Rattus norvegicus: one gene and its partner. The protein of the gene in region 2 purifies or fractionates together with the protein of the main gene of each other region. This does not show direct contact. Links are inferred from orthologs where the notes say so. Each region holds a gene or a part of one and is shown on either strand. Other genes may lie near its edges. The genes, in order: Ddx24 and Tspyl1.

Evidence for each region.
Region 1: the proteins of Tspyl1 (region 2) and Ddx24 purify together in Homo sapiens (affinity purification with mass spectrometry; 3 studies listed by BioGRID and IntAct, counting the BioPlex papers as one, with this or other methods). This does not show direct contact. The link is inferred for Rattus norvegicus from reciprocal best matches to the Homo sapiens genes TSPYL1 and DDX24.

What each region holds. Positions count from the first base shown.
Region 1 is NC_086024.1:128,344,135-128,348,048, forward strand, and holds the start of Ddx24 (ATP-dependent RNA helicase DDX24), read right to left. Parts: upstream 2,582-3,914; 5' UTR 2,536-2,581; exon of another isoform or gene 2,122-2,535; intron 1,205-2,121; 5' UTR 1,200-1,204; coding exon 482-1,199; intron 1-481. UniProt on the Homo sapiens protein: ATP-dependent RNA helicase that plays a role in various aspects of RNA metabolism including pre-mRNA splicing and is thereby involved in different biological processes such as cell cycle regulation or innate immunity.
Region 2 is NC_086038.1:39,635,464-39,639,377, reverse strand, and holds the start of Tspyl1 (testis-specific Y-encoded-like protein 1), read right to left. Parts: upstream 2,344-3,914; 5' UTR 2,313-2,343; coding exon 1,173-2,312; 3' UTR 1-1,172.

The DNA of each region.
Region 1 (3,914 bases), on a different chromosome or scaffold from region 2:
TGCCACAGCCGCACTTGACCAAAGCCAGTGATGTATAAACACACTGTGACAAGCTCACTATGTGTGAGGAAAGTCTGGTTCTCACTTTTGGAAATCAATGTAATTTGCTTTATCAGCAGACTAAAACCAAAAACCTACATACCTCAATACATACAATATGAACATGTGTAAAAACTCTGACATGCATTTTTGATTTTAAAAACTCTCGGTAGAGTTGTGAGAGAACACTCTCAATCTGACGCGGTCCAGCTGTGCAGACACAAAGTAGTGTTCTCACCTCCATCTCACCTTGGGCCTCAGAAACAGAGCGGAGTACCAGATTCAAGCAGGACAGATTTCAGCCCAGAGCTGAATGGTTCTAACACCTTCCGTGGCTTTTGTGGCCACATTCCCAACAATCCCCTCTCCTAGTTTCCCAGCCTGTGAGCAACCAAAGGCTGGCTCCAGGAGCTCTACCTAGGGCAGACAGAGCATCCCTTACCTGTCTCAGCAGCTCCAAGGATGTCCAGTTTGTCACGGATGGCAGGGGCCAAAGTCAGCGCTTGGATTGGGGTGGGTGCAGAGAAACCTAGAAAGCTGAGAGCTCGGAGAACAGCCTTGGGTACAAACAGGTCCCTCCAGGCCGACACGTCTGCCTTCTGGTCTTGCACCTCAGGCATCCACGTCTTAGCTTTTTTGGGCACTTTGGGGGCAGTGCTCTGAAAAGTGTCTAATTTTTTTTTCCCTTTGTTTTTCTTCTTTCTTGGAACAGTCTGTGCCAGGCTTTCCGATGTGGCTCCTCCTACCTTCTGATCAGAACACACAGTGATTTCTCCCTGAGCCCCTGGCTCAGAAGCTTTCCCTTCACATTCATCCTGGGCAGCGCTGCCTTCAGCAACGAGGATTGCATCTCTCTGCTTCTTCAATTTGATCTTTTTCTTTGGGGAGCTGGACTCTCCCTCCTCCTCTTCTTCCTCTTCAGACACAGCCTGGGCCTTTCTCTTCTTGGTCGTCTCATCTGAGAACAAACGGGAGGGATTCTTGACTAAGCGGTAATCTGTCAGTTCCTCAAAGCACACCAAGTCATCCATCTGTCCATCTGCAAACAGATTTGGGTCGATCGTCACTTGCTTCCATTTCCCCACAACCTTGATGCCCTTCCTCTGAAATGTGCCACGGCTTGCTGACTTGGGCTTCGATTTTGTCTCCTTCAACTTCATGGTTGCTGAAAAGAAATGCTCTTTTGGGTTAGTGACTGTGGAGCACAGGTTCAAGGGCAACACACACTTTCCTAAAATGTACTCAACCCTGCAAACAGTTGAGGACATGAAGATGGTTTACCCTGCATAGAGAAGATGTTCTCATGCAGAAAATGAAACCCACTCACAGAATAGGTAGTTGGGCTTGGAACAGATGGGACGCAGGCAACAGAGTAAAAAGATACATGAGCTAACTCTGGTTCTGATCCTAGCTCCAACACTTAACTTGTTGCAACCTTCAACCACACTCCCTACTCCTCTCAGAATTTAGTGTTATAATCTTTTTAAATGAGAGGGGTGTGGTACTATCTAATAATATGTAATTTTAAACTGTACACAAAATAATTGAAAGTAAGAAGAGATAGGCTGATGCTTGACCAGTTAGTTACTACAGAAGTCATTTTGAACACGGAGTAAGAGTCTGAGAGAGTGTGGTTTTTTTTTTTTTTTTAAAACAAGTGCACTGTGCTTTCTTCCCTAGTAGAACCAGAGAAGTCCCATTTCTATTCTGGCCTTCGCCAGATAGGTTAAAACCCGGGAAGTCTAGGTTCCAGCCCCAGCACTGTGTAAAACCGTATATAGTGGGTATCCAGCCCTCGGAAACGGAAGTAGGAAGATCAGGAGCTCAAAGCCAGCCTTGGCTACACAAGACCCTGTCTTTAAAGTCTGGAAGGCAGTTATGCATGACTCTATGCATGACTCATCTGAGTGAAAGTGGCTTCACATTGGCCCTCTTTATATGAAAAAGAATATTGTGGAGAGCATTAGGTAAAACTCGATTCAAATCTGGATCCTGGACTTGCCAACTCTGAGTGTTTGCTGAACATCTCTGTGCCTCAGTTTCCTTAACTACAATTTGAGGATAATGAGATATTTATCCCACCTGGGTTGTCATTGAAGAATACGAAATAGTGACGTACATCAAAAATCACTTAACATGGCGTCTGTGTGGAGGCACGTTGACTCGCAGGCAAGGATCGCCCAGCAGTCTCTGGTATGGGACGCAAAGCGACCCCCGACCCCCACCGCACCTCGGACCCACCTTGACGAGAGAACGGGAACGTCACTAGAAATAGGGCGCTGGGAGTGACCTGTACCGCTTCCAAGAGTCCCACGGGCACTATAGCCGATAGAGACTTCAAGGGAGGTTGCTGGGCCTTGATGCTTAAGAGAAGGCGTGAGCCATCGGGAACCAAGGCTGTAGAGACACCTGTGAGTCACTATGCTTCGGAGACAATGGGGAGACATCCGCAGCTAGCCAAGGCCTGCCAGCTCCGGATCCACAAAGAACACTCACCGCGGCAGTATCCTCACACGCCAGACCGCCTGCGCCAACCCGACCCGGAACTGCAGCAGCTCCTGCACTGCAGTTCCGGAGCACAGTTCCGGGGCGGGGCTCCTTGCACGCGTGCGCGTTGCAGAAGGAAGTCCCGCCTTTGTGCGGAAGCGTCTATCTGATTGGCACTCCCACAGGACTTGGGCCGGAACCTGGAGGGCTGGGCTAGGGTGCCCTGCGTAGCCTAGGATACGCTTCCTGTTTATGGCCTTGGCAGTGTTTCGGAGCTGTTTCCTCGACACTAGGGAGCGCAAGTGTCCGCGTAATCTTGGTCTGGTTTGCGTGCAATAGCATGTTATTGAGTAACTGACTACCTGGAGCCTTAAAACATTTCTTTATCTAATTTACAAACCACCCAAGCCTGTATTGAAGGGCCATGTTCTCCGGTTCGGTAGTGCCTTCCTACCTCACAGAACTGGTCAAGATGGAACTGCCTGTCTCAAACGCAACTTTTAGACCCGGACAAAATAGGCTTAAACATTAATTAGATTAAATTAACAAGTTTCTTAAGGGCTATGAGGATACACAAGAATAAGAAAACAGAATAGGAGCCAGATAGTGATGGCACATGCCTTTAGTCCCAGCACTTGGGAGGCAGGAAGATCACTTAAGTTCGAAGCCAGTCTGGTCTAGAGAGCAAATTCCGGGACCTTAGAGTGAAGGAAATCCTGTAAACTACACATCAGAATGTGGTTAACTAGGCAGGAAAAAGCATTCAGAAATCGATAGCAAAAGGACACTTTTAACAAAATGGGCAATAAACCTAAATAAGCATTTCTCAAAAGGTACAAGAAAAGATGCTCAGTGAGCCTCTAGTCAATAGGATAATGGAAACTAGAGCCACAGGTAGACATGGCCTCACTGCAGTGAGAATGCTGACCAGTGCTGACGGACATGACTGTTGGCTAGGGGGCTGTTGGGACAGGGAACGAAGCCTGGCACATCGTTGTGGGATGTAACTAAGTACAGCCATCATGGAAATTCCTGAAGAGTGAGAAACTAGAACTACCATCTGCTCAGAATGTATGCCTGTGACCAGGAATATATCCAAAACAAGTGAAGTCTGTCGAAAAGAGACCCACAGTCCTGCATGCATCAAACACTTCAAGATAGCCAAGAAATGAACAGAGCCATCAGCCAATGAGTGGATTCATTCAGGGAATGTGGTGCTCAAGCAGAGTAGAATAGTATTTGTTCAACCCCTCCACCCCCCAAAAAAAATCAAAACTGAGAACTTCTGCTAGAATGTGGATACAACCAGAGATCACAATGTCAAGTCTAGTAAGTCTGGGCAGAAAAATGGTACTTAATTTGTATGGACACCAACATGGTACAGGACT
Region 2 (3,914 bases):
ATTGAAAACTGTTATGAATATTCACTTAAGTCTATTGCTCTTCCAAGTGGTTTCAAATGAATGCAAATGAAAGTGTTTAAATTTCTCCAGTAAGTAGAAACAAGTAGCATTTTACTAAATGTTGGTAAAATATGAACACAGTATTACCCTTTCACTTACATTAGATCACATATAAAGAGAGAAAAATAACCCAAACGTGAACTGCTTCTTTAAAGAAGCGTTGTCTAGGCAACATTCAACACTCAGAGAAAGTATTTTTCCTGAGAAATTCTCTTCCCATCACCAATGACTGGCCAAAATATGAAAGCTCTCATCCTGTCTTCATCCTCAGCCCAATTTTTATCTGACTTACTTTGACTCTAAGCCTTTTCATTTTCAGCTCACTTTTCCTGCTTAAGGTACCCATCACAATCTCTTTAGTTCTTCCATACATTATTAGGAAAAGCTCACCTGTTTCCATCTAATTCTGTCTCTGTATTCTGTCTCCATATAAGCTTTTTAGGACTTGCTAGCTAACCAGGCTGAGGAGTGGGTAAGAGAGGAGACAAGGCAGAGTTCTGTGACCTCTTTTACAGAGCATCCTCTCAGGAAATGCTGAGTATAAATGAACTACAACTCCTGATCTTACAGGTGTTTTTGAACTACTTTTCTTTAAAATAACAGGAGAAAGGTGGGAGAGTGAGGGTGAGGAGTACTGGCAAACACAATGAAGCCTAGAAAAAGTCACAAAATGACACAGAAGGTGGCCCACTCCTGCAATGACCTTTAGGCCCAGCAACTGTCTGAAAACTTTTTGCCCACATTGCCACGTGCTGAACAGGTAAATAGAAGAGCCCCCAGATAAAGCAAGACATCTAGGTGGCAGTAAATGGGTAACACTGAAAACAGCGTCCACACAGTGTAAAGGCAGTGCGATACAAAGTTTCACTGTTAAGCTTAGAAAAGGTACAAGTCAGGGCCACGAACCGGCAGATACTAATTCAGGACAGCATGGGAGCCATGTGAAGGCAGAAGCATGCCCACAGTCTTAATCTCGAGGTGAGGAGACTATCCAAACAGAAGATGCTGAAAAGTCAGGAGGAAAGAAATCAAAACACTGCGTACCCGGTGCATTTGCTCAAGCACAGGCGAGAAGGGACTTATTCCAGCCAGCTGCATTTTCAAAAGCAAGGTTAGCCTGACTGGAAGCCAAAAGGCCTGGGAATCTCCACTGGTTCCCTTATTGGGCGACGTCGGGGTCTACGGATTCCTTCACGAGACAGGTAGTATTGCAGTGGGTTTGGCCACAGGTCCTCTTTGATAATCTCGGCGATCCTGTCAGATTCTGGAACGCTGTGGTCTGAGAACCAGGTGAAGAAGCTGCAGATGAGGTCTCGGTTTCTGCGAATGAAGGACTGGGGCTCATGCCCACTCCGCCATATGATTGGAGTGGAAAGAGACACCACTCGGCCGGATGATCTCACTTCATATTCTTTGACAATCAGCTTGTTTCTGAAGTAGGGGTTTCTTCGGAAAAAGAACTTGAATTTGCAGCCAGTCTTAGGATGCCTCAGTTCCTTCACCTCCAGATTGGTTATGTACCTTAACATCTCTGCATCCTGACCCCTAATCATGGCGGACAACTGAGGGTGGTTGCGGAAGGCGGTCATCCAGAAGCCTGGGATATTCTGAATGATGTAGTTCCTTCGCTCCAGATAGTGTCGCCGCATCCGCCCAAACTTCTGCTCCAGATGTTGGAAGGCCCTGTCGGCCTGAGCATTCACGGTGTCCAGTTCCAGCTGGATGGCCTCCAGCGGGTTCGTGCGAAGATCGATGCCCAGGTGCCAAGGCCCTGCCTCCTCCTGCGCCTCCCTGGCTCCTCCACTAGCCTCCGGCATCTCCATTTCTTCACCCGCGGGCTTCTGCTCCACCTCCATCACCTCCTCACTCCCTTGCATCGCCACTTCTGACTGCTCTCGCGCTGCCACCGCGACGGTGGCCCGTTCAATCTTCACGTCGTGGGCCCGGGCCTCCGCTCCCCGAGTTTCTAGGGCCTTCTCCGCATCTTTCGGTGCCACGAACGCCGCCGCCGCGGGGCCCTCGACAACAGGCGGAGTCTCTCCTTGCCTAGCTGCGGCCACCCGCACCTGGGGGCCAAGGCCCGCGACACCCCGGGGCGCTGGGCTCCCCACGATCCCCGCGCTGCCCTCACCTGTCACCGCCTTCTCGCCGAGCAGCGGACGCCAGCCTGGGGTCCCCGGGATAGTGTCAGCATCGCAGAGGCCGCGGTGGTCGGGCACAGGGGTCCCCTCGTCCGGCTCCCGGACGCTCATGTCCGGTCCGGTCGCACAGACCTCAGTTTACAAACCCTCAGGGTCCACGCAGCCCCACCTCCGCCCCTCGCTGTTTCTAGGGCGGTGACGTCAGGGCCGCAAGTACCGCGAGAGCCGGCAGCGCACCTGATTGGTTCCTCAGCGAGGATTGGCTTCCGTGTTTGTTTGGCTTCTGTAAACGTAGCGGTTTGCGATTGTCACGTTTATTTCGGTAAAGGAATGTCAGTTATCCTAGGAGACTGAAGGCAGTGGCGGGGCTTTTGGAAACGTCTCCCGCATCCCGGCTGCCGCCATGTGTGTCTGGGTGTCTGTGTGTCTGTGTGTTTGTGAGTGTGCGCACAGCATTTACTTTGCTTACTGTCCACAGCAAACAAGTTCATCCACTTTCCACTGACGTGAGAAGGTAAAAATACCGCCGGATATTCGAAAAAGCTAGGAGCCAAAATGTCTGTTTTTAACCAAGGTGAATGCCAAGGCACCCCCAAACCCCTTCACAGAACTGAAGAAATAATGAAGTCTGGCCTGGTGTGATGGCCCTTGCCTGGCGACTCGGTGCTCCGGTGCTGAGGCTCCTTGATTTGGAGGCTAACCTGGGCTGCATACACGTTGGCTCAAAAAGAATAAAAAAGCAGTTCTATTCTAACCTCGGACGTTACTGGGAACGAAGCTCGGTGGGTTTGGTTTTGAGAATTCCTGTTTTTTTGGGGAGATGTTTTGTGGTTATAATTAACGATTGTTTATACGGGTGCACTGTGATACACATCACGCTGTATAGTTCTTATAACAATCTTGTGATGTATTAAGATTTTTTTTTGAACAAGGAAAAACTGGGTCTCTTACCAAAATAACATTAAAAATGACAGAGCAATGATTTGAGCCCAGGAGATTTGATTCCGAGGCTCTTTGGACAGGATGTGACTTCACTTTAAGATATAAGCATTAACGCATAACTAATGTCAAGTTGGTACATATTTTCTCCCATCACCTTTCCTCATGAACAAATAAATTAATATTTAAGAACTTATTTCCTTTCTGTTTTGAGAAAAAGAAGGTAGTTATTCATGGTCCCCAAATTCAAATTTATCAGAACAAATGCCACCTTCTGAATAACAAATGTTTCCAAAAGGCCGTTTAACTCCTTTCGATAAAGTTCATAGACAATGTAACCCAGCTATAAACATAAATAGCAAATTTAACAATTTTACTATAAAGGTTATTGTAGTGGTGGCGATTTTAGTATAGCAAAGGGGTCAACGACTTAGATTATTATAAGAACTATATGACGCGGTGTTTATCACACAGTGGTAAATTCACCAATAAGAACATGGTTAGAAAATTACATGCTTCATAAAAGTCAGTGTGGATGGAGAGTAACACAGATATCTATATCAGCTCTTCTGAAACTGTGACCCAATTTTCGTGAAATTCTGGGTAAATCATGCCCCCGCCTCTCCCCAGTGCACTGCTTTTTCCACGCAGAGAAATGAATTTCCACTGCTAAATACTTGCCAGGCATGTTATTCCCAATAACTGTCACTAGAGGGGGCCACCTGTCCTTTAGAAATGCTGCGCCTGTGACAGACTAGATTCTTGTAAATGAAA